Diceros bicornis minor: one gene and its partner. The protein of the gene in region 1 interacts with the protein of each later gene in a pairwise test. Links are inferred from orthologs where the notes say so. Each region holds a gene or a part of one and is shown on either strand. Other genes may lie near its edges.

Region 1 (7,701 bases):
ATTTGGCCATTGGCAGCACCAAGGAATCCCTGGGGTTGCCTAGCTATCTCATAATCTCCATCAGTAACTCTGAAGTAGGTAAATTTACTCTCCAAGTAAATATAAAATCTAAGTTCAAAAACCACACATGCTATGTAAAATAATTTCAAGGCATTCTTAGTCCTCCATCCCAACCAGACTGCTTTCCCAAAATTCTGCTTTTATGGAAATTCTGGAACCAACACTGAATATGACCATTTTTTGCTTGTTTAAATATGTTAAATGTTATATACCTATATATATACCTATATATCACTTTGAAATTCTTAAAGTTTCTTTTTTTGTGTGTGAGGAAGACCAGCCCTGAGCTAACATCTGATGCCAATCCTCCTCTTTTTTGCTGAGGAAGACTGGCCCTGAGCTAACATCCGTGCCCATCTTCCTCTACTTTATATGGGATGCCTGCCACAGCGTGGCTTAACAAGCAGTACACGCCTGGGATCTGAACCAGTGAACCCCAGGCCACCACAGCAGAGCGCGCGCACTTAACCACTTGCGCCACCGGGCTGCCCAGGAAAGTTTCTTTAGGGATGAAAAGCGAGCATCCTTGTGCAAGTTGGTCATTTATTCTGCATTCAATTTTTAAGACTAGATACTTACACTTCCTGCCCACAAATCTTCCCTTTCTCCTGCAAGTTTAATATAAACAGATATCTCTTCTCCCTTAGTGAAGTTCAGGTATCGGCAGTCAGGTCCTCTGTAATCTCTCAAGGCTAAGACTCTGCTTATTAAAGCTATGTAAGAAAAACACAAAATTTAAATTAAAATGTCATTTCTCTGCCTCCCATCTTGCCCTCCTCCAATCCATCCTATGTATTTCCAAATGCTAATTTCTTCATAACATTTATGAACTCAAAAACCTACATAGACTTCCCGCTGCTCACAGAATCAATTCTAAGCTCTTTGGCTTGGTATTCAAGGCTGTCCATAACCTGCTCCTTCTTCCCCACTTAAAATGACTTCCTCTTATTTCTTTACAGTCAAGCTCATCTATCCATTGTCCCTGGAATGTGTCGCTGTCATTCTCGTCAGTAGGGAAGGGAAGGAAAAGATCATTAGTTTTCTCCCCAGCACCTACTATATTCTAGGCATTATGATAAGCTCTTTCCTATCTTTATTTTATTAAATCCTCAAAACAGACCTATGAGGTAAATAATCTCATCTTAGGCTAACACATGAGCCTTTAACTACGTCTTAGAGGAGCCAGATTTGCACTGAGGCTCTCTTCACTCACCATCCACGTTCCATATTCTGTGCTTTTCTTTCTGCCCCTTCAGTCTCTCTTCAGGGTCAACTCATATCCTACTTCCTCTATGAGACATCCCTAATCAGTCCAGCCTACTCTGCCCCTTCTCTGAACTTCATTCTTTTTTTTTTTTTGTGAGGAAGATCAGCCCTGTGCTAACATCTGCCAATCCTCCTCTTTTTTTTGCTGAGGAAGACTGGCCCTGGGCTAACATCCGTGCCCATCTTCCTCTACTTTATATGGGACGCCGCCACAGCATGGCTTGCCAAGCGGTGTGTTGGTGCTCCCCTGGGATCCGAAGCGGTGAACCCCAGTCCGCCACAGCGGAGTGCGAGCATCTAACCACTTGCGCCACCGGGCCAGCCCCTGAACTTCATTCTTATGTTGTATCACTATTTATTGTTTCATATTGACCTGTCCTGTCACCATTCACTAGAATGAAAATTCTTGGAGGGCAAGAAACTTATATTTTATTTTCTTCTTCTTAGATCAAAACCCCCCAGCCCCTCAGACCCAGCACATGACAGGCCCTCAATAACCATGAATGATCATAACCACATATGCTAGATTTAGGCCTTTAACACATAAAGTAATATACATACCATATTAACTATTATAATTATACTAACATATGTAAAACATTTTAATTAAGTCATGCAATTAAAGTTAAAATAACATTATATATTACTATAAATTTGAATGTTCCCTTTCCATGTTCTGTGTCTGGCCCTAAGGAAACTAAAATGAGATTGTAAAGAGGGAAAGAAAGATTATTATTATTATTTAAAAAATCTAGTAAACTTTCTCTATATATTACATTACATATCCAAATGATTAAGGAAAATGTTTACTCAAAAAATTTACTTATAAATTATTTATGTTTATACTAATAATATTTTGCACTTTTAATTTACATGTTGCAAATTAGAAATAATTCTCACATACCGAAGAGATAGAACATATTTAAAGCAATTTTAATATATTGGGATGCTATTCATTCTGCACCATAATGCTAATAACAGAAAATTAAGTTTTTAAGCAATAAAATGAAAATTAATTTCTCTTGGTAAAATATAGAAGTTTAATATTCAAGGATATAAATAAAATTATGTACTCCTAACACTAATTTCAGTATTTTTACTTAATAAGTAGACACAGAAATGATTAATGTTTGATAAAATTTAGACAATAAATCACAATGGTTTGAAATAAAAACATTTTTAGAAAACTAAAAAATATAAGGGCTTCATAAATAAAGAACTATTAAATGGCTTGATATCTTTTTTAATGCAAATCAATTACATTTATCTTATAAAACAGTAAAAGATCTGATTTGTGTGTTTTTGAGGTCTGGATTAATATTTTTATAATTTCTGATATATTTATGTACCAGGCTGATCTTTGCCCCTTTGTATATTTGCATTAAAAACTATCACAAAATGCTTTGCCTCCAGCATTTCCTTTTTATAGTGAACCATACTTTATAATTGCAAATATTTTGTAACGAATTAATGCTCATTTTTATCATACATGTCCACAATAACATTTTATGTCATTTCAGAGCCTCAGTTTAAGAGGGAAAAAAAAGCAAAGCAACTTACTTTCACATTCCAAGTCACCACATTTTTTAAAGTCGGCCAGCAGTTTTGTGCCTTCCAGACACTTTGTCAGAGAAATAATCAAAAGGAGGATTCTGTGAACTCCCAGCTCCGCCATGCTAAAACAAGCAGGAACCCCAAACAAGGTTTAAACCGACTGTTTAGGCTGTAGGTCCGCCAGCCCAAACAGGAGACATCCCACTCTCTTCACTAAATACAAGAGAAAGGGGTTTGGTTCTTTTTAATCCCTTCGTAACTACATTTTTCTATCAGTGTTTAGGCTTACCTTGAGAGAAAAACACTCTCCGTTCTCAATCTGCAGTGTCAGGTATCCAGATAATACCTAAGGGTTTAATAATTAACAGAGATTTTTAGTTGGACTCACGTCTTACAAAGGTGGCCCATGTAACACTGTCTCCCTTAAAGGCACCTGGCATTCCGCAGGACAATTCCTAAGCAGGCCTCCACAAAAAGGCAGTTCATTTCTCTCTTCAGGGAGCTCGGTCAAAACGTACAAACTGAGTGTTTGCTGCATGCAGACACCAGCATCAGTGGAGAAAGTATATAGTTACATGTAGAAGCAGTAATCATTTATGTTAAAAGCATGGTTTTGAAATATCATGATGAAAGTTATTTGAAAAAATATCCCACTTTCATATTTTAAAAATCTTTGGTGTTATTACGAAGTTGAAACTTGTATTTAGTTAAGAATAATAGTTACGGGGCCGGCCCCGTGGTCTAGTGGTTAAGTCTGGCAAGCTCTGCCCCAGGGTCACAGGTTCAGATTCCTGGCACGGACTGACACCACTCACCAGTGGCCATGCTGTGGCGGGGACCCACAGACAAAATAGAGGGCGATTGGCACAGATGTTAGCTCAAGGCGAATCTTCCTCAGGGGGAAAAAAAAAGAATAATAATTAAAATGTAGTAAGTACTTATTATGTCCCAGCTACTGTCTTAATCACTTAATCATGTGATCAGATTTAACCCTCACACCAACTCTCTAAAGCGGGTAATATTATCATCCCCATTTTTGCATATGAGGAAACTGAGGTACATAGAGATGGGCTAAATCACTTGCCCAGTGTCACACAGGGAGTGGAGAAGAATTTAAACCTCAGCCCTGCGACTCCCCTTACTCATAACCGCTGTGTCTTACCACCAAGAATCAAGTCATCTGCCACAGAAAGATGTCCACGCTCTCTGCAACAATGCTATTCCAGGAACAGCAAGTACAGGCTTATTCCATATTTAAAATTGCATACATTTTTCTGTAGGTGGAGAGAATGAGAGAGATGTCTGAAAGAATCTTCCTCCATACGGTAGGAGTACACAGTGTGCTTTCAAGTTGTATTCACTTTCTTCTTTGTACTTTTCTATATTGTTTGACTTTTTTAAAATCAGTGAGGATGTATCATTTTAAAATAACAGTAAACCTATGAAAATCACGTTATTTGAATGTTATTATGGTTTACAAAAGGGATCAAAGCCCTATATTGGGAATTTTTGTGTAAAACACTAGATCTCAGTAGATTTTCAGAAACCACAGTTGTCGTACTTCACTCTTGAGAAAATATTTTTCTAAGCCTTTTTTTGCTGTACCCTCTCACTGTATCTCAGGCCTATCAGCGTGTAATCGGTTTACAGAATGCAGCCCTTGTATGACACCACACCTCCCTCTAGTGCCTGACATAAACAAGACAAATATCCAGTACCTGAGCAAACTAAAGTAAAGGACTTTTGCTTTCAAAGTCCTAAAAAAGGACGTGTGTTTTCTGTTTGTTTGTTTTCCAAAAACAATAATTAGTAGGAAGCCTGCTTTCTCGGATCAAAGATTTTTACGTCCTTAGGATCTGATAGAGCATGAATTTGAGGATCATTGGCTTGCACTCAGAGCACGGCATAGCTGTGCACATCCACACTCAAAAAGATGTAGCTTAGTTTCTTGAATACTTTTGCAAATCTATAGGCTATGTCGTCAAAGACATTTAAAGAAAGATTAGCTCTTCAGCTTCAAAATTTGGCACAGGGTTATTAGCATAATTTATAACATCAAATAGAGAATATTTCATAATTAATATACTTTATCCTTTATTGTATTCAATATTAAAGACATTACAGCTCAATTCTGCACCAATTAATTTAGTTATATTGTAAGTTAAGACAGAGAAGAACCCAGATAAATTTAAATTTGTCTATTGATTGGCCTGAAGGAGATTTGAGTCAAGAAAAACGAGAAAAATTGTTGCCTAAGATAGCAGCCTGGAGAGATTTGCTTTTATAGAAATGCTCCCACTTTCTTGCTACTTGATGCACTCAGATGATCTCATTCCATGTTTAGATTGTTATTTAAATATATCCTAACAAGATATCTGAAAATGTGGTAGCACAATGGTAACTGTATCCAACAGACTCGGATGAAGAGGTGATGGAGGAAGGGATAAGAGCATTTAGTTTAAAGAAACCAAAGTATCGAACTTTCACTATAACAACAGTCATGTTAATTTAGCCAGGTATTATCTAATTGCTGATGCATTTTTCAGATCAAGTGTTGTGTCAATATTAAAATATAATACTGCTGCTGAGGAAGATTTTATGGTAACAGTCAGGAATACTGATTTGGAAAGCCTGTAGCATTCTTCAGAAACCATACAGGAGGTAAGAGAACCTACTGCATAAAGCTAAAGAATGAATCATCAAAGCCACATATGTTCAGTATCTCAGCAATAGTATCACAGAGCAACCCTTTCCACGAGAATGTAAAGATATCATCACCAATGCTGCACTTCTACTGCTTGGTAAGGTTATTTCTGACTCTGTATAGTACTGTCTTCTCTCTCAATACCTCAGATTTCCTGAAGTGGGAACATATTTCCTTCCACCAGCTGTCTGTTAGTCTGGCAATTTATAAGATAGAGAAATTTGATTAGAAGTTGCTTGGGGAAAGCTGAGCTGAGGAAGCCAGGGTGTTTTTTTCTAGGGAGGGGGCACTAGGACAGAGCCTTTGGAAACAGTTCCCGTGGCAGACAGCTGTGCAGTGTGAGATCAAGCCCAGGAGAGACTGAGATTCAAACTGGTGTGGAAGACATGAAGGTGGCCCCCCACGCTCCCTCTTCAAGAAGAGGCTTTCTGCGCAGCTGCAGGGAGTGCAGTTAGCAGACAGCCTCCCTCTGGCAGCTACTTCAAGGTCTGCCCCAGCTGCAGAGAGCCCCCTCACCCAAGATCGCCCCTTCCCGGTGATCTAGTGAATTTGGTGAATAAATGACGAGAGAGTACAAAGGCAGGGCTGCAATGGCAGCCTGATGTGGGCACCTCTCCCTCCAGAGCTCCTGCTGGGTTGACTGAAGCTTTGTAGAGCCTGTAGTGCAGTTTGACTTCCCCCTCTGCCCAGTCCTGCTGTCTCCCTCTTCCTTTCATAGGGGTTGATCCCTTGAATTCCAACTCTGTTTCAGCCTTTACTGCGAGAGGACCCAACCTCAGAAGCTAGTGATCCACAGGTGCAAAAAGAGGAGACGGTAGAACACGCACATTTTGGCCCATCATTTGTGCTAGTCACTCCGTGGCTCTTTTTACCTTTGCTGCTTTTGTGTTGCTGAAGGCCGTGTTTCAATTCTGCCCACTTTTTCTCATTCTGTCTGTATCAGTCAGAGTTCTAGCAGGTAACAGAAGGGTATTCCATTTTGAGGGATGGCACTCCTCAACGATTGAGGAGATTTTAATGAAGGACTATTTACAAAGGTGTGGGCAGGGTTAAGGGAAACCAACAAGGGATGTAACACCCCCAGGCCTGAAGGAACGGTGTCCACTGCCTGGAGAGAACTATAGGAGAGAGCTGCCTGGCAGGAACTTGAAGCCTTCGGTAAAGGAACTCAGACAAGAGAACCTCACTCTTCTAATTTCTGATCTGATGGTAGCACCCATTGACCAAACCCAGCCAGATGCCAGAGAATAAGGGAACCCTTTGAGGCAGTCCTAAGGTCTGTGTTCCAGGGACACAGAGCAGAGTGGCAAAGAGTGGAGAGTGGATTGGGAGGAGCAAAAAGAGAATACCCCACACACTGTCATCATTCCTTTACTATGTATTTTTGAATAATAGCATGCAACATCCTCTACATCCAAGATGATATCTGTGTGATATGTGCAGATCAGGGGACTGAATTGATTACTCTCATCAATGGGTAAGAAAGAAATTTAATGTTTGTTGAGCACCAACTTTGTATCAGTGTATGTATTTCACATACACATCTCATCTTCCAGGATGGGCTTTATTTACTGAATGCCTATGATGTGTCACTCTTCTAGGGACTAGAGGTACAGGAGTGAACAGGACAAAGTCCTTGCTCTCATGGACCTTGCATGCAAATGAAGGGAGACAGACAAGAACAAGCAAACAAATAAATGAACGAGATAATTGCAGGTACTGATAAGTTATTATGCAGAAAAGTGTCTACTTAGATAAAGTTGTCAGGGAAGGCATCTCCGGAGAGCGACATTTGACTTAAGAGGAGGGAATAGGAAGGCAGACATTCTGTGCAGGGGGAAGAATTAACGAGGAAGTCGTACTTCATTGTCTGAAGTTTGATCGCCAAAGATTTAAAGAAAAAATGAAGGAGGCATATTGGATGCATTCCAGTATGTCAGAAACAAGGCTTAAAGGTGAAACTAACAGGCATATATAATCAAGAAACATAAAGGCAGATGGAGAGTGGTAGGAGATGGAGTAGGAGACAGACAGAGGTCCAATCATGCATTTTTTGTGGAAAAGAGTGTGAGTTTCATTCTAAGTGCAGTGGGAAGCCAGAGGAAGCTTTAAGGAAG
Region 2 (7,715 bases), on another chromosome or scaffold:
TTCATCTGTCCTCTTTCATATTTCTTAAAAGCTTCATATTTCTTAAAAGCATATTTCTTAAAAAAAAATCTGTAAAGGCTAACTAACTAAAGAGGATGTGGTCCCACCAAGGAGAGGGGCGGGAACCCCACACTGGGTCAAGAGCAGACTCAGAAGAGAAATGGCCTCCTCAGCTGTGTTAGAAGTAAACGTGTTGAGAAAGAACTGAGTAAGCTGAAAATCTCCCCCGTCCCCTCACCTGCCTCTCTCTCTCTCTCTTTCTATCTCTCTCACACACACTCACACACACACAATATAGATCTCTGACTTCAATGATGCACATAATTATGAATGGGTAATTCGAATGGTAAAGACAAAAGTCAAAAGAGTTAATCTTATACAACAGAAGAGATAACCATATCCTAACATAACCAGAAAAATCAAAGTGAGCCATAAGAAACCGAATTCTGAGATCTTAAGAGCAACGTGAGAAATTTAATTAATTATAAGTAAGTCCCCAAAAGGAATTACCTTTGTATTCTCAATAGTTTTTAAATTTCAACCCTTGCATAGTTTTTAAAATAAAATTTAACTTCCTTTTCCACTGATTAGATAAGTAATAGATGTTCACTGTAAAAAAAAAAAAAAAAAAGAAAATTCAGAAAGGAAAATAAGTAAGTGTAATCTTTTACACCACGTTTGAAAATGACATGTTAATATCCACACAGAGTCCTGTTCTAAATAACCTAGCCAGAAGCATGTGGGCAAACCAGGTCATGTGGATAGGAGAGCAAGATTTCTTCAAGCCAAGCCCTGGCAGGATTGCCTTCTGCCCACAAACAGAAGTGTGCTTTCAGAAGACATGCAAACTCAATGAAAAAGCCAGGGAAGGCTGGCGATGCGATGTGATCAGAAGATGCCTCTGCTCTGCCTGGTGAATTCTGTACTCCCCCTTCAGGACCCACTCACATGTCACCTCGGCTCAAGCCTCACAGTGGATTAGCAGTAGAGACACTCTCCAAAGGGCATGCAAAAATTTCCTCTCAACTTCTACTATAGCGTAAATCACACTATAGTCTCATTTTCAAAACTCATTTGTTTTGTTTCTGAGTCTTCTTTACTTTCCAGCAAGTAAACTCCAACAGGGCCAGGGCTGAGTCTTATTTGTTTCTGAAACCCTGATACCTAGCTCACAGGTAAAACAAATGATGGCTTGTTAAATGATGAGCCAATGAATGAAAAAACAAAGTGCAAAGTCTTTAGGATGCTTGAAAAATATTGCTGGTGGAGGAAATCTGTGGAAAGAGACCATAACTCAAAAAACCTAACAGAAAGAAAATTTAGTCCCTCAATAGAAGATTTTGCGTAGGCTGCATATTTCACAGACCTGGAGCAGAAGTCAAATCTATTGGAGTCACCAAAGAGATAGCTAATTATGGATATTAAAAATTATTAAGTCCTAAATGTTTTAAATTCAGGCTTAAACAAAATTAAGCTGAGACCAAGGCAGCAAGCTTCAACAATGGAGACTTCAAAGGAAGGAGAAACATCAAGGTCTTGACAAATGATTTGACAATGCAGAGCCCTGAACTAGTGTGAAACAGAAGAAAGATAGAGAATATTGAACAGTCAGATATCTCGCAGGACAGTCAGAATAAAGAGAGTAGGTAGGTTGAATGAAAGGTCTGCCTTGCCAGGTTTACAACTTATTCTATATGTTCCCATCATGACTATGAATTCTGACTAGTAATATTAAATATGAATTATCTGATTATTTCCAAGATACTCTCTGTGAACTCTACATTTTTAACTTCAATTCTTATAGTTATATAACACTTAACCTCAAGACCTTTTCTGAGGTAGTACAGAATTACACTATTCCATACAGTAACCACCAGCCACATTAAGAAACACCAGCTATTAGGCACATGCAATGTGGCTAGTCTGAATCGAGGTGCGCTGTAAGTGCAAAACACACACTGAATTTCAAAGACTTAGTATGAAAAATGTGTAAAATATTTCATTAATTATTTTATATAACATTTGGATATATTGAGATAAATATAGTATTAAAATTATATTCAATTGTTTCTTTTTATGTTTTAATATAGCTACTAGAAAATTTAAAATTACATTTGTGGCTTGCATTATATTTCTATTCAACAGCATTGGTATAGAGCAATGGTTCTCAACGAAGGGTGATTTTGCCCCCAGGGGACATTTGGCAATGTCTAGAGACATTTTTGCTTGTCACAACTGGGGCACTGCTACTGGCATCTAGTGGGTAGAGACCAGGGATGATGCTAAACATCCTACAATGCACAGGACAGAGTCCCACAACAGAGTTATCTAACCCAAAACGTCAGTGGTGCCAAGGCTGAGAAACACTGTTATAGAGGCTAACGAGTGGTTAACGAGTGGACTCCAGAGTCAGACTACTCAATTTGAATACCACTTACGAGCCATGTGACTTTGGACAAACTGCCTGATCTCTCTTTGATTCATACTCCTTATCTATAAAAAAGGCTAATAACAGTACCTCCCTCACAGGGTTGTTGGGGGAATTAAATGAGTTAACAGGTGTACTTACAACAGTGTTTGCCACATAGCATTTGCTCAATAAGTATTAGCTATTATGATGTGAAATTTTCTATTGTCTATTTCATGAAACAATTTTAATTTACTTTGTGATATATAATTCTCTGTGACTTTACCAATCTTGTTATAATTAACCTATCTTCATAAAAAAATTAAAATTTCCCTTAAGTTAGGAAAAAACAGCTATTTTCCATCTTGCATAAGTACAAGTGGATATTACAGCAGAATCATTATTAAACACATCACAGAAGCTCAGCTTTCTCTTCTAAATAATGTGTGTGCAAAGTTCCTCACCCAGGTTTGCCTTACGTGGGAGGTCCCAGTGTTTCAGGCCAGTGAGCGAGTGTGACGTCAAGGTTCTGTGGTACTTACAGATGGAAGCAGAAGTCCCAGTCGGTGTCACTGCTGACAGTTGGGATGCGGATGGGACTGGCTTGCATCTTCTTCCTTCTAAGAATCGCATGTGAGGTCAGCTTTGGAAGAAAGGGCTTACAAGTCTGTTCTATTTTCCCTCTGTTGGACGCTATTAACATTAAACTGAAACTGTGTGAAGATATAACCCATCCTAAATCTACAAACAGCCTATGCACACTCATGTACGGAGACCCCTGGAAAGGAGAAATTAAAGACATTTGCCAAATTAAATCTGTGAATTAAATTTCTTTCCTTTAATTTCTACTCCACATTACCTCCAAAATCCCTGACCTATTTTTTTACCCCTTAAGCCAACACATTTACAGCTCCTGAATCATCAAAACTATGGTCTCCTACTCAAGTCAGATACTGTTTTTGCAAGTATGAGCAAGATGGATCCAAGCAAAGCAACCAGCTCTCAGTACTAAATGAAGTATGGCCAGGGTATTAGCTAATTCTCCTGGTCCCTAGCACCATCTCACTATTTAATAGGTGGTCCTAGTTAAGAAGCTAAAACACATGTGTCTATCTGGATTGCTCTCATTAGCTGATGGGGGAAATGGCTGAAACTCATGGCAAAAAATTTGGCTTATGGGGCCAGCCTGGCCGTGTAGCGGTTAAGTTCCTGCACTCTGCTTCAGGAGCCCGGGGTTTGCGGATTCAGATCCTGGGCACTGACCTATGCAGGGCATATCAAGCCATGCTGTGGCAGAGGAAGATGGGCACAGATGTCAGCTCAGGGCCAGTCTTCCGCAGCAAAAAGAGGAGGATTGGCAACAGATGTTAGCTCAGGGGAAAAAAAAAACTGATTTATAACTATTTGTGAACTTCAACCTTCATGGCTATCCCTGTCGCTTAAATCCAAATTGAATGCACAGTTATTTACTGAACATTAACACCCACCACGTCGCTCCTCATTTCACCCTGCAGAATGGGACTCATTCCCACCTGAGCCCTCAGTAGCTCTCTCTGACTCAGGCTCCAAAACATCCACAATCCACAAACGAGAAGGGAAGATTCACTAATTTCTCTTTCCAATCGCTACCTTCAAAATTATGGCCAGAGAGAGGGTTTCGACTTCTCAAACTCCTCATTTCTGTTCCTATGAGGTTCCACACGGCCCTGAATTATAACACCAAACTTCGGCCCCTCTCTCAAGTGCAAATCGCTGCCTTCTTTTCGGCAGTTGTTTCGCCGTAACTTTAAACCCTGACGCCACACCCCGAGCATCGTCGGAGCTTCCCCAGGCTTCTCTCCTGCGGGGAGTGCCCCGCCGCAGAGGCTCTGGCCGGAAAGCTGGGGGAGGGCGGCTGCGGGCCAGCGTCGCGCGGCGTACCTGGCGGGGGGCAGAGAAGCCACGCCCCGGAGCAGCCTCCCCGGCTCCCTGTACCCCGCAGCTCGGCTGCCTCGGGCGGCGTCAGCGTCTCGGCCTCGGCGGACGTCGTGCAGCGCGCCGCAAGCGTGTCTTGAGGAAGCGAGGCGCTCTGCAGGGTCTGCCTTTCGCGCCGGCCGCCCGGGCGCCGGCTCGGAAACAATGGGGTTGCCATGGGAACGGGACGCTGGGAGCGTCGGCGCCTGTAGCCATGGCGACGCGGGGGCCGGAATCCCCGGCGGCTCCTGCCAACTACAGCTTCCGCCGCGCCCTTCGCTTCCCGGTCACGACGCACGCGACATTAGGCCGGTCCCCAAACTTCCCTCTGCTGCGGCGGAATCGTCCACTATTGTTTTTCTTAAAGGGACTTTACCTCTCGGAGATGAAGACGCAGGGAGAGGAGATAAATCGCGTCAAAGGATGGAAATAAGCGCCGGGCCCCACGACCCTATTTATTTCAAGCTGCGACGCACCGGGCTGTATTCGGCGACACCGTGCACCCCCGCAGTTCCCCGGGTGTTCTGGCTCCGGCCAGGGAGGAAAGGCTCAGATATAACCATTGATGGTGCTGGCACTGTCTGTTGCCTCTGCGGATGAGAATGTGAGCTATGCTTCGTTAGGAAGGCGGAGTACAGGAAGGGAGTAGCTTAAGAAATGGACCACTAGTTCTGCTAGTTGTTAGCAGTTCAGAGAATATTTTCGAGGGTGGTGGGCACATTTGGCAAACACCACATACCTAAGTTACGCAGCCGTGTATTCTTATATTACCCCTCTTCAGTGGCCCAAAGTACATACAGTGGTGACGGTAACTCAGATCTGACAGGGGCAGGGACAGTTGTGGCCAATACCCTAAAGAACAGCGCTGGCTCCGGCAGCCTCGCGTTTAAGGGTGTTGTCATGAGCCCTGCAATGAACTGAGGACCTATGAATGGACAAGTCAAGTTGGAGTTGGTTATGTCCCTCTCGTTTTCACAGAAGAGCAGGCTCGGACGAGACAGGAGGAAAATATTTACTAAGAACTTGAAAGGTCGTGTTTACATTTGGTGTTCTTTTCAGTTCTAAGGTTGAAGTTTAATTACTCTTGATCCAAGACTGCCAAGATAGCCTTTCTGGAGTTAGGTTGGAGGAGCGATTTAAATAAGTTGGCTTAAAAATCTCTTGAGTAAAACCTGGTGGGCCTGTTGGCAGAAGGTTTAAATCTCCTCAAGCTCCTGGGCCAAAAGTTTAGAAAGATCCCACTCCTTTTATTCTGTTTCCTAAGGAAACTGTCAGCATGGAACCATCATGAGAGCAATGAACTTGGTTTCAAGATGTCAAGGTTCTGGTTTTGACTTGATGTGGCCTGGGGCAAGTCACAGCCTAGGGGACCCAATTTTCTTGCCTATACAGTGACGGTATTTGTACCCCTTGCTTTCTAAAACCCCTTTCAGTTTCAGGATTCTGTGAGGGTAAACTGCAGATTTTTGTGACTCTATCAACAATATTTAACATGTGTGGTGATAAAAAGGAAGAACCAGTTTCCTGTTCTCTAATTCTTATTTCGCTTACCCTTGTTAAGTTGCTCTTTATCAAACTGAAAACTTGAAGTGTTCTGTCCTTCTAGGAGATGGCTATGAGGTGGTTTCTAAGCGTGTTAAACGTGGCGTCTCTTTCCTCAACACTCGCTTTTGCCGATCATTGTAAAGGGACGTGCGGGACCAGAACAGGTGCTGAATTCCCGTTCCTAAAGCTGACACACCGTCTCCTCCAGAATTTAATTAGCTCTGGCCAGAAGCACGTTGCTCTGATCTGTAAAGAGTAGAAATCAAATTAAAGGGGCCGGCCCTGTGGCTTAGCGGTTAAGTGCACACGCTCCGCTGCTGGCAGCCCGGGTTCCGAACCCCCGGTGCGCACGGACGCACCGCTTCTCCGGCCATGCTGAGACCGCGTCCCACATACAGCAACTAGAAGGATGTGCAGCTATGACATACAACTATCTCCTGGGGCTTTGGGGGGAAAAAAAATAAATAAGTAAAATCTTAAAAAAAAAAATCAAATTAAAGGAACTGTAAAGACTCTTAGCGTTGCAAACCCCTGTGATATTTTTTCCTTCTCTTGCCCTCTGAACCCTGGCGGCAAATGGAAGCTTAGTTAGAGCAGGTGTGCTTGAGCTTTGTTCACTGACGCTGGGATGTGGTGCGTGTAATCTAGGTGGATGGTGTTGTCACGATGTATTCACTCACATTCCCTCCCTTGATCCTGAGGTCAAAGAAGCAAGCATTGCTATTGCAGAAATCACACAAAGGAAGCCTGTGGAGAGGGTACTTCTAGACTCTTCCAACCCAGATCAAGTGTGATGATCTCCAAATTATTCCAACTCGAGGAAGTGTGAAACTTAAGAAGAAGGAAATGCGCATAACCTGTCTCTTGGACTGTGTAATTTCTTGAAACAGATTTTCTGGCCTCTCAAGACAGGGTTAGATGCCTTACTTCTGAGCTCCCACAGTATCCTGTCCACAGTTGCATCATGACACTCACCACACTATATTGGCCCTCTCTGTTTACTTGCAAGTTTCTCACGCCATGCATCTGTCCATCCACCCAGACAGAAATACCTATTGAATACTTACTACGTGCCTGATACTGTTGTAAGCATTAGGGAAGCAATATGGACAAATAGACAAAGATTTTGCTCTCCTGGAGCTTCTGCTCTACTGGGTGAAGAAAAACACAGGGCTGCTGGTAAACAATATGACGTCTGTGCAAGTTAGAAAAAGGTGCATGGCTTGGCTTAGGGAATAGGCAGCCACTTCGTGTTTATTAGGAAAAAGCCTCTTCCTTTAGTTAGACTCAGGCCCCTGCTAAGGGAGAAAACCTTGGGAACAGAGGGTGGGCTGGATTTCAGGACTCACTCACTCCCTCCCTCAGCTAGCTGAACCACCTTACATGGAAGTGATAAATGATATGGAGAAAGATAAAGCCAAGTAATGGGTCTAGGAGGTGATGTGAGCCTGTGGGGAGGGTGTGCTAGCTTATATAGTGTAGTTAATGAGGGCCTCTGACAAGGTGCAGAGACCTCAAGGAAATAAGGGAGCAAGTCATGTGAATGTCCAGAAGAGCAGCGGAAGATGTTAACAGCAAGTGCAAAGGCCCTAAGGCAGGAGCAAGTTTAATGGGTTCAAGGAAGCACAAAAGAGCAATTAAGAATGAGAAGGTGAAACAGAATTGGTCAGCGGAAGAGCAGGACATCAGGTCATGCAGGGCCTTATAGGCAATCTATGCATATAAATATCCATCCACCCCCCCCAACCCCCCAGTGAATACTGAATACCTACTAGATGGCAGGCCCTGTTTGATGAGCTATGAGCGCCTT

What was found.
Region 2: the proteins of MIA2 (region 1) and TTC23L interact in binary tests that used the Homo sapiens proteins (3 or more experiments, as listed by UniProt). The two-hybrid records come from large-scale screens. The link is inferred for Diceros bicornis minor from reciprocal best matches to the Homo sapiens genes MIA2 and TTC23L.

What each region holds. Positions count from the first base shown.
Region 1 is NC_080744.1:10,921,232-10,928,932, forward strand, and holds the start of MIA2 (melanoma inhibitory activity protein 2), read right to left. Parts: upstream 3,017-7,701; 5' UTR 3,002-3,016; coding exon 2,887-3,001; intron 774-2,886; coding exon 640-773; intron 1-639. UniProt on the Homo sapiens protein: Plays a role in the transport of cargos that are too large to fit into COPII-coated vesicles and require specific mechanisms to be incorporated into membrane-bound carriers and exported from the endoplasmic reticulum.
Region 2 is NC_080759.1:34,186,545-34,194,259, forward strand, and holds the start of TTC23L (tetratricopeptide repeat protein 23-like), read right to left. Parts: upstream 3,018-7,715; coding exon 2,950-3,017; intron 1-2,949.